2 linked regions of the Callithrix jacchus genome follow. The protein of the gene in region 1 purifies or fractionates together with the protein of each later gene. This does not show direct contact. Links are inferred from orthologs where the notes say so. Each region holds a gene or a part of one and is shown in the gene's direction. Other genes may lie near its edges. The genes, in order: VIM and NES.

Region 1 (3,435 bases):
GATTAATCAAAATTCCTCATTCTCTTTAATGTAAGCAAAATTCCTCATTCTCTTCAATGTAATAGAATACGCTATTGATCTTTTTTGAGAGGTTAGTAAAATATTTGTTATGTCTTTTTTAGGGCTTACCAAGTAAAAATGAATGTTTTCATTAAGTTGGATCTTTTTATCACCCACTCTTCATTCATTTTTTCCCAAAGATGATAGAAAAGTCTCAACAGTTTAATACTCTAAGAGTATAAACTGAACTCCAAATATAATTACTGACAAGATAAGCAATCCTCATGCATCCTTTAGAGAGAAAATAAAATCTTAGTTGCAAAAGTACATATTCTGATTTGGAATGTTGCCCTTTACAAATGGAAACATAGAAGGACAGCTGAATCAGCAAAAATTCATGTAGTTTCATTATCTGCAAGCTTGGTCAGTGATTCAGAAACAGGCTAACTGAACTGATACAGTAGCAAGTGAAAAAGACATGCCTTTATGAGAGGAGCCAAAGGAGTTTTAGAAGAAAACTCCATCAGAGAAAGCAAAGCAAATACATTAAGAATTACGTGTCTTTTCCATTTTTTCCTGAACTGAATCTTAGGCAATGCCCATATTCCTGAATTGGGCTATTATTGAATATAAATCTAGCCTTGTACAATGGATGCCAGATGGCTACATATTTGCTCTGGAGCCTAAGGATGAGATTCAGAAGATTCTAGTGGAGAAAAAAACTTAAACTCTTAAAGCATGAGTTTCTGTTCTTTATGTGCTCAAGTGTACATGAAGTTGTGAAATTTTGTCCATGTCTATTATCATGTTATTCCATGAAATTACAAAACCAATCTTAAAAATGTTATGACAGAGATTTTCTAGATTTCAAAAGTAATTAAATTAAATTAATTTTTTTGAGACAGACTGTTTCTCTGTCACCCAGGCTTGAGTGCAATGGCACGATCTCGGCTCACTGCAACCTTCGCCTCCTAGGTTGAAGAAATTATCCTGCCTCAACCTCCTAAATAGCTGAGACTACAGGCGTGTGCCAGCACACCCAGCTAATTTTTGTATTTTTAGTAGAGATGGGGTTTCACCATGCTGGCCAGGCTGGTCTCGAACTCCTGACCTCAGGTGATCCCCTGCCTCTGGCTCCCAAAGTGCTGGGATTAACAAGCATGAGCCACCATGCCCAGCCTTCAGTAAAACTTTATTTACAAAAACAGACAGCCACGGGCTGCAGTTTGCTGACCCCTGATCTATACAGGTTGGATTTTGTTGATTACAGGCATGAGCCACTACTCTGAGTCTTAAAAAGTAATTTTAAAATGTCACTGGTAAAATGTGGATTCAGTCATGATTGCGTACAGTTTACCACATTTGTAGACATTTATTTATTTTAAAATTGTCTGATCACCACCTTGAGTAAAACACAAGGGGTCATGATTAAAATTTATTAGTGAGCAGGAGAAAGCGTAGCATATGATAGCACTAAATGATTTCTAAACTTACTCAAGGGTGGTAAAATTTGTCAACACCTTTTCTATAGTAAGGAGACTAGGTTTAGATGGTTAATCTAAGATGAATAAGTGAGAGAAGCCATAGACTTTTACATCCTCCATGTCCTGTCTTTTCTCTGTTCAAAATAGGATGTTGACAATGCGTCTCTGGCACGTCTTGACCTTGAACGCAAAGTGGAATCCTTGCAAGAAGAGATTGCCTTTTTGAAGAAAATACACGAAGAGGTTAGTAGAGTGTCTTTCGGGAAATGAATGAAGGTAAGGCAACCCCCACAGTTGGCACAGCTGACCTTCTATCTGCTTTTTTTTTTTTTTTTTGCAGGAAATCCAGGAGCTGCAGGCTCAGATTCAGGAACAGCATGTCCAGATCGATGTGGACGTTTCCAAGCCGGACCTCACGGCTGCCCTGCGTGACGTACGTCAGCAGTATGAAAGTGTGGCTGCCAAGAACCTGCAGGAGGCAGAAGAATGGTACAAGTCTAAGGTAGGAAACAAGTCCCTGTGGCCTGCACAGAAGAAAAGCATTGAGTTCTCAAAACACCATTCCTGTGTGTAATTCCTATCCTGTAGCTCCAGTTAAAAGCTGGCTTTGACTTGTTGCTCACATTTATTTATTTATTTTTGAGATGGAGTCTTGCTCTACTGCCCAGGCTGGAGTGCAGTAGCATCATCTTGGCTCACTGCAACCTCCACCTCCCGGGTTCAAGCAATTCTCCTGCCTCAGCCTCCCAAGTAGCTTGGACCATAGGCGAGCACCACCATGCCCGACTAATTTTTGTATTTTTAGTAGAGATGGGGTTTCACCATGTTGGCCAGGCTGGTCTTGAACTCCTGACTTCAGGTGATCTGCCTTGCCTCAGCCTCCCAAAATGCTGGGATTACAGGCATAAGCCACCACTCCTGGCCATATCACCTCCTTCAGAATAGCAGATTCCCTTCCTCTTAACCGTGCCTCCAAGTAAACCCCAATGCCATACTTTGACCTCCACTGTGTTTAAATGAGTACAGTAGAGTGAACTCTGAAGATAGTAATGTCAGTGTTCCACTGCTCTTTCTCTGGCTTTCAAAACAGAAATTTAAGCCTATACTGGAAGACATTCAGTGGGAAATATGATCTTTTTTTTCTAAGAGAGTCAAGACTTGAATGGGAGCAATGTACATTTCTGTTTTCTCCCCGACAGTTTGCTGACCTCTCCGAGGCTGCCAACCGAAACAATGATGCCCTACGCCAGGCAAAGCAGGAGTCCAATGAGTACCGGAGACAGGTGCAGTCCCTCACCTGTGAAGTGGATGCTCTTAAAGGAACCGTGAGTACCAACCCTGCAGTAAAAGAGGGGAAATAATGACCCATTCTGCTGACTATGCTAATGGCGAAGCCTGAACAAAATGTTGAGTGAATAAAAATTTATACGGTAATGCAAAGAAAATGACTTATCACGACAAACTCAAAAAGGACTTGATGGCGCTCTTGAAGGTTTTAGCTTGTGTATATCATTGCTTCTCATATGAAGGACTTGGTACTTGCATTCTCCGCCTACGACTAGAGTAGTTGTCATTTGCCACTAATGGAAATTATTGCAAGAAGACTAAATGGTTCTGGGAATAGCTGGGTTTTTCTGAGCAATAACACCAGAAACCTTTCTCACCTCCTGCAGAACGAGTCCCTGGAACGCCAGATGCGTGAAATGGAAGAGAACTTTGCCGTCGAAGCTGCTAACTACCAAGACACTATTGGCCGCCTGCAGGATGAGATTCAGAACATGAAGGAGGAAATGGCTCGTCACCTTCGTGAATACCAAGACCTGCTCAATGTTAAGATGGCCCTTGACATTGAGATTGCCACCTACAGGAAGCTGCTGGAAGGCGAGGAGAGCAGGTAGGAGCTCAGGCTTGGATGCAGGAACCATTGGGCTCTAAGCACAGCGTCACACTT
Region 2 (4,295 bases), on another chromosome or scaffold:
AGGCTGGATAAACTTTGGGCTCGTCGTTAGGAAGCAGGCTGACAAACATGGTTTCCATGTTTTCATTTAAATCTTTAGTTAAAACTTTGAATAGTTTTAACTAGGCCGGGCGCGGTGTCTCACGCCTATAATCCCAGCACTTTGGGAGGCCGAGGCGGGTGGATCACGAGGTCAAGACTTGATCGAGACCATCCTGGTCAACATGGTGAAACCCCGTCTCTACTAAAAATACAAAAATTAGCTGGGCATGATGGTGCGCGCCTGTAGTTCCAGCTACTCGGGGGCTGAGGCAGGAGAATTGCTTGAACCCAAAAGGCGGAGGTTGCGGTGAGCCGAGATCGTGCCATTGCACTCCAGTCTGAGTAACAAGAGCGAAACTCCGTCTCAAAAAAAAAAAAAAAAAGTTTTAACTAATGGTGGCCTCTTCCTGCTGCTTCCACTTATACTTGCCGCTAGAGGGCGCCCTCCACTCAAAACTCTCTGGCAGGGCGTGCGGGAGAAGGGGCCCTTTCCCCAAAACAGAACTTCCGAAAGTGGATGTATGAACCTCGCAGTTATACGGAAGAATTGCAGGAAAGATGGAGAGAGAAACGTTCTTAAGCCCATGTCGGCCCTTCACCGGTTGCTTCCTTTTCTGATGAAGACTCAAGCAATTGAGGATGTGTGTGTGTGGGGGGGTGTGTGTGTGTGTGTGTCCCAATATCAGACATTTGTTCTTGTTCTCCAGGCAGCGTCTCTCCATCTTCTTTCTGCAATGCTTTGTAATGTCTCCAGTATTTCAGGAGGATGAGCATTTGCTATTCACAATAAAGAAAGAAAACTGGTTATATCCATTTTTTCAGCAGCCATGCGATTTCCATCATTGCTCCCATTTTATGGATGAGGAAACTGAGTCTTAGAGGAATTCAGTAAGTGATAGCTCCCTCGGATGTGTTGAGTAACTGAGGCCGCACTCCCCTCTAGGCTGGAACGTCCTGGCACCCCCACCCCCACAGGCTCAGTTCTGTGTATTATCTGCCTTTTTCCGGGATTGTGACCTTTCTTCACCTCCTCCTTCCCCAGAAAGCCACCACCATCAGATCCGATTCTCCACGGCACGGCTTCTTTTTTGGTTCCACTCTCCAGCATCCCGGGGAAGCAGGGACAGAGACTGCTGCCATTCTCTGACCTCTAAGGGGTTAAGGCCTGGGTCCCGCCCCTCTTCCCGCCCGCCTGGCGGGAGTATGAATAGCCTCGCTCCCACTCCCGACTCTCAGTCGCTCAGTCTACTCCCACTCCGCCCTGCCCTGTCATTGTCCCCGTCGGTCTTTCTCTTCAGTCCGAAAACCTCTGCGAGCCGCTCCCTTCTCCTGGTGCCCCGCGTCTGTCCATCCTCAGTGGGTCAGACAAGCAGGATGGAGGGCTGCATGGGGGAGGAGTCTTTTCAGATGTGGGAGCTCAATCGGCGCCTGGAGGCCTACCTGGCCCGGGTCAAGGCTCTAGAGGAGCAGAATGAGCTGCTCAGCGCGGAGCTCGGGGGGCTCCGGGCACAATCCGGGGACACCTCCTGGCGGGCGCGTGCCGACGACGAGCTGGCTGCCCTGCGGGCCCTCCTTGACCAGCGCTGGCGGGAGAAGCACGCGGCCGAAGTGGCGCGCGACAACCTGGCTGAAGAGCTGGAGGGCGTGGCGGGCCGATGCCAGCAGCTGCGGCTGGCCCGGGAGCAGACGGCGGAGGAGGTGGCCCGCAACAGGCGCGCCGTCGAGGCGGAGAAATGCGCACAGGCCTGGCTGAGTAGCCAGGCTGCAGAGCTGGAGCGCGAGCTGGAGGCTCTGCGCTTGGCGCACGAGGAGGAGCGGGTAGGCCTGAACGCGCAGGCTGCCTGTACCCCCCGCTGCCCCGCGCCGCCCCGCGGGCCCTCGGCGCCGGCCCCGGAGGTGGAGGAGCTGGCAAGGCGACTGGGCGAGGCGTGGCGCGGGGCAGTGCGCGGCTACCAGGAGCGCGTGGCGCACATGGAGACGTCGCTGGGCCAGGCCCGCGAGCGGCTAGGCCGGGCTGTTCAGGGTGCCCGCGAGGGCCGCCTGGAGCTGCAGCAGCTCCAGGCTGAGCGCGGAGGCCTCCAGGATCGCAGGGCAGCGTTGGAACAGAGGTTGGAGAGCCGCTGGCAGGAGCGGCTGCGGGCCACTGAAAAGTTCCAGGTGAGGAGGTTGAGGATCTGGGGGAGACCGGGCTTCAGAAAGTCTCTTATGAAGCTCAGAGACCTTCTGGGAAGGGAGTGGGGCTAGGTGGCTGCTGATTCAGGAGCCACTTCTTAGAAACCTGGTGCCACAAGCCCTAGACTTTTCCAGCCCGTCCAGTGTAGGGTGCAAATGGTGGGACTTCGGAGCCTCCCAAAGCACATCCGGGGGAGGGCAGTCAGGCCCAAGACCCCTTGCAGCAGTCCCCCTACTCTGGATGGCGTCGTCTGGCTCTGATGATTACCGGGGCTCCGGGCCCCTCCCCAGGCTCTGCTATCACTGGGAGACCCCAGCACTGTCGCCTCTGCACTGAGTCTGGTGGGCTGGCCACCCAGAATCTTCAGGTTCCTCACAGCCCTCCTCCCGCTGAGGGGAAAAGTGAGGGGCTGGGAATGAATGGCTACCAGCCCCCTCCCCTGTCATGTTTCCCGGCTTCCTGGAGCACATTCCAGAGGCCCAGGACAGCTGCTCCTTCTCACAGGGCACAGATGTGACCAGCAGCTGAGAAAACAGCCTCTTGCCTGGGCCACACGGAGGTGCCACGGCCACCTCCCCATCCCTCCTCTGAGAGGAGAGAGAATCCAGAACCTGTGGAAAGGGAGGTGGGGGTGGGGATTGGAGCCTGCTGTGAGGAGCAGGAGACAGCCTTGGAGATGGGACCAATGGGGGACCTGGCTGTTTGCCTTCCAGTCCTGCAGGCTCCAGGCCTCTTGATTAATCGTTTTTCCTTCTGCTTTCGCTTTTTTTTCCCCCCTCTTCTCCTCTTGGTAACCCATCTCCTCTCCTCCCTCACCTCTGCTTCCTGTGGGAGCTGCGTTCTGAGCAACATGTGCTACCATTTAATCAGCATCCTCAGAGGAGGAGCAGGCCGTGGGAGAGGGCTCGGAGGGCTGACACGGGCTTGGGCTCATCTTGGCTGATGCAGAGGGGGCTGTCTGGGCAGGGAGTGGGGTAGGGGAGGTGGGGGTCTGCTGCTCGGAGTCAGCCAGGGAGCGGGAGATGCAGCCCCGGCAGTGGCAGGGGCAGCAACAGCAGGCAGGGTGCAGGGTGGTTCACAGAAGGGACCCCAGCCCTTCCACTGACTGCCTCTCGCCTGCCCTACAGCTGGCCGTGGAGGCCCTGGAGCAGGAGAAACAGGGCCTGCAGAGCCAGATCGCCCAGGTCCTGGAAGGTCGGCAACAGCTGGCGCACCTCAAGATGTCCCTCAGCCTGGAGGTGGCCACGTACAGGTACGAGGTGGGCCCGTCCACCCTGGCGCACAGAGGCGCACACACACACCGCGGGAGACTGTGTGACTGAAGGGGACCAGAGGTGTCGGTGATGGCAGCTGTGCTGCCACTGGGTTCTGTGACTGAGCTGGTCACTGCCACACCAGGACATGTCCTGTGTGAACTCATCTGTCCCTCATAGGATGGAGACCTGAGAAATGTCCTGTGCCCAGGAAATCCCCCCAGGAGAGAAGATATTGCAGAGTGGGACAGCCTCTGGAGAGGCTACATCCAGACCCTTCCCCCCGAGGGGCAAAGCTCCAACTCTGTGTGTGTGCCCACACCCAGGGAGTCGAGTCCTTTGGCAGCCATAGAAAGTAGCCACTGCAGGCCTGGGGTGGCTGCACTGACTTGCCACCTGACCTGGGCCTCAGCCTTGTCTAGGGGCTGAGGGCTTCGCTGGGGACTTCCAAGGCCTCTTCTAGTCTGGATGTCATGGGGCCTGGCTCCTCTGATGCCCCTAATGCCCTTGGTCCTGCCCAGCCTTTTGTTGTCCACATTTCCTGTTGTCCTGGAGAAGGCTGAGACCAAGGAGGGGCGGCTTCTCACTGGCTGTGTGGCCTCAGCCACAGCCCATGGTGTCTTCTGGGAAACTGGGCCTGTGAGCTGAGGGGCCATGGATGGAGCCTGTGGAAGGGGCTCTGTGCCTGGTGAAGAGCCTCAAGAGGTCCAGGAAGGGGGGAGGCAATGCCCAGAGGAGGAAGGTCAGCGAGGCTCTGGGGAGGATGTGGTGGAGAGGACCTCCACCACCAGGGAGGAGAAGCCCAGAAGGAAGGCCGCAGCTCTGGAAGGACGGGAGGCTACTGCGAGG

Evidence for each region.
Region 2: the proteins of VIM (region 1) and NES purify together in Homo sapiens (affinity purification with mass spectrometry; 3 studies listed by BioGRID and IntAct, counting the BioPlex papers as one, with this or other methods). This does not show direct contact. The link is inferred for Callithrix jacchus from reciprocal best matches to the Homo sapiens genes VIM and NES.

What each region holds. Positions count from the first base shown.
Region 1 is NC_133508.1:18,041,758-18,045,192, forward strand, and holds part of VIM (vimentin), read left to right. Parts: intron 1-1,631; coding exon 1,632-1,727; intron 1,728-1,824; coding exon 1,825-1,986; intron 1,987-2,683; coding exon 2,684-2,809; intron 2,810-3,157; coding exon 3,158-3,378; intron 3,379-3,435. UniProt on the Homo sapiens protein: Vimentins are class-III intermediate filaments found in various non-epithelial cells, especially mesenchymal cells. Vimentin is attached to the nucleus, endoplasmic reticulum, and mitochondria, either laterally or terminally.
Region 2 is NC_133519.1:17,079,980-17,084,274, reverse strand, and holds the start of NES (nestin), read left to right. Parts: upstream 1-1,254; 5' UTR 1,255-1,394; coding exon 1,395-2,177; intron 2,178-3,320; coding exon 3,321-3,445; intron 3,446-4,295. UniProt on the Homo sapiens protein: Required for brain and eye development.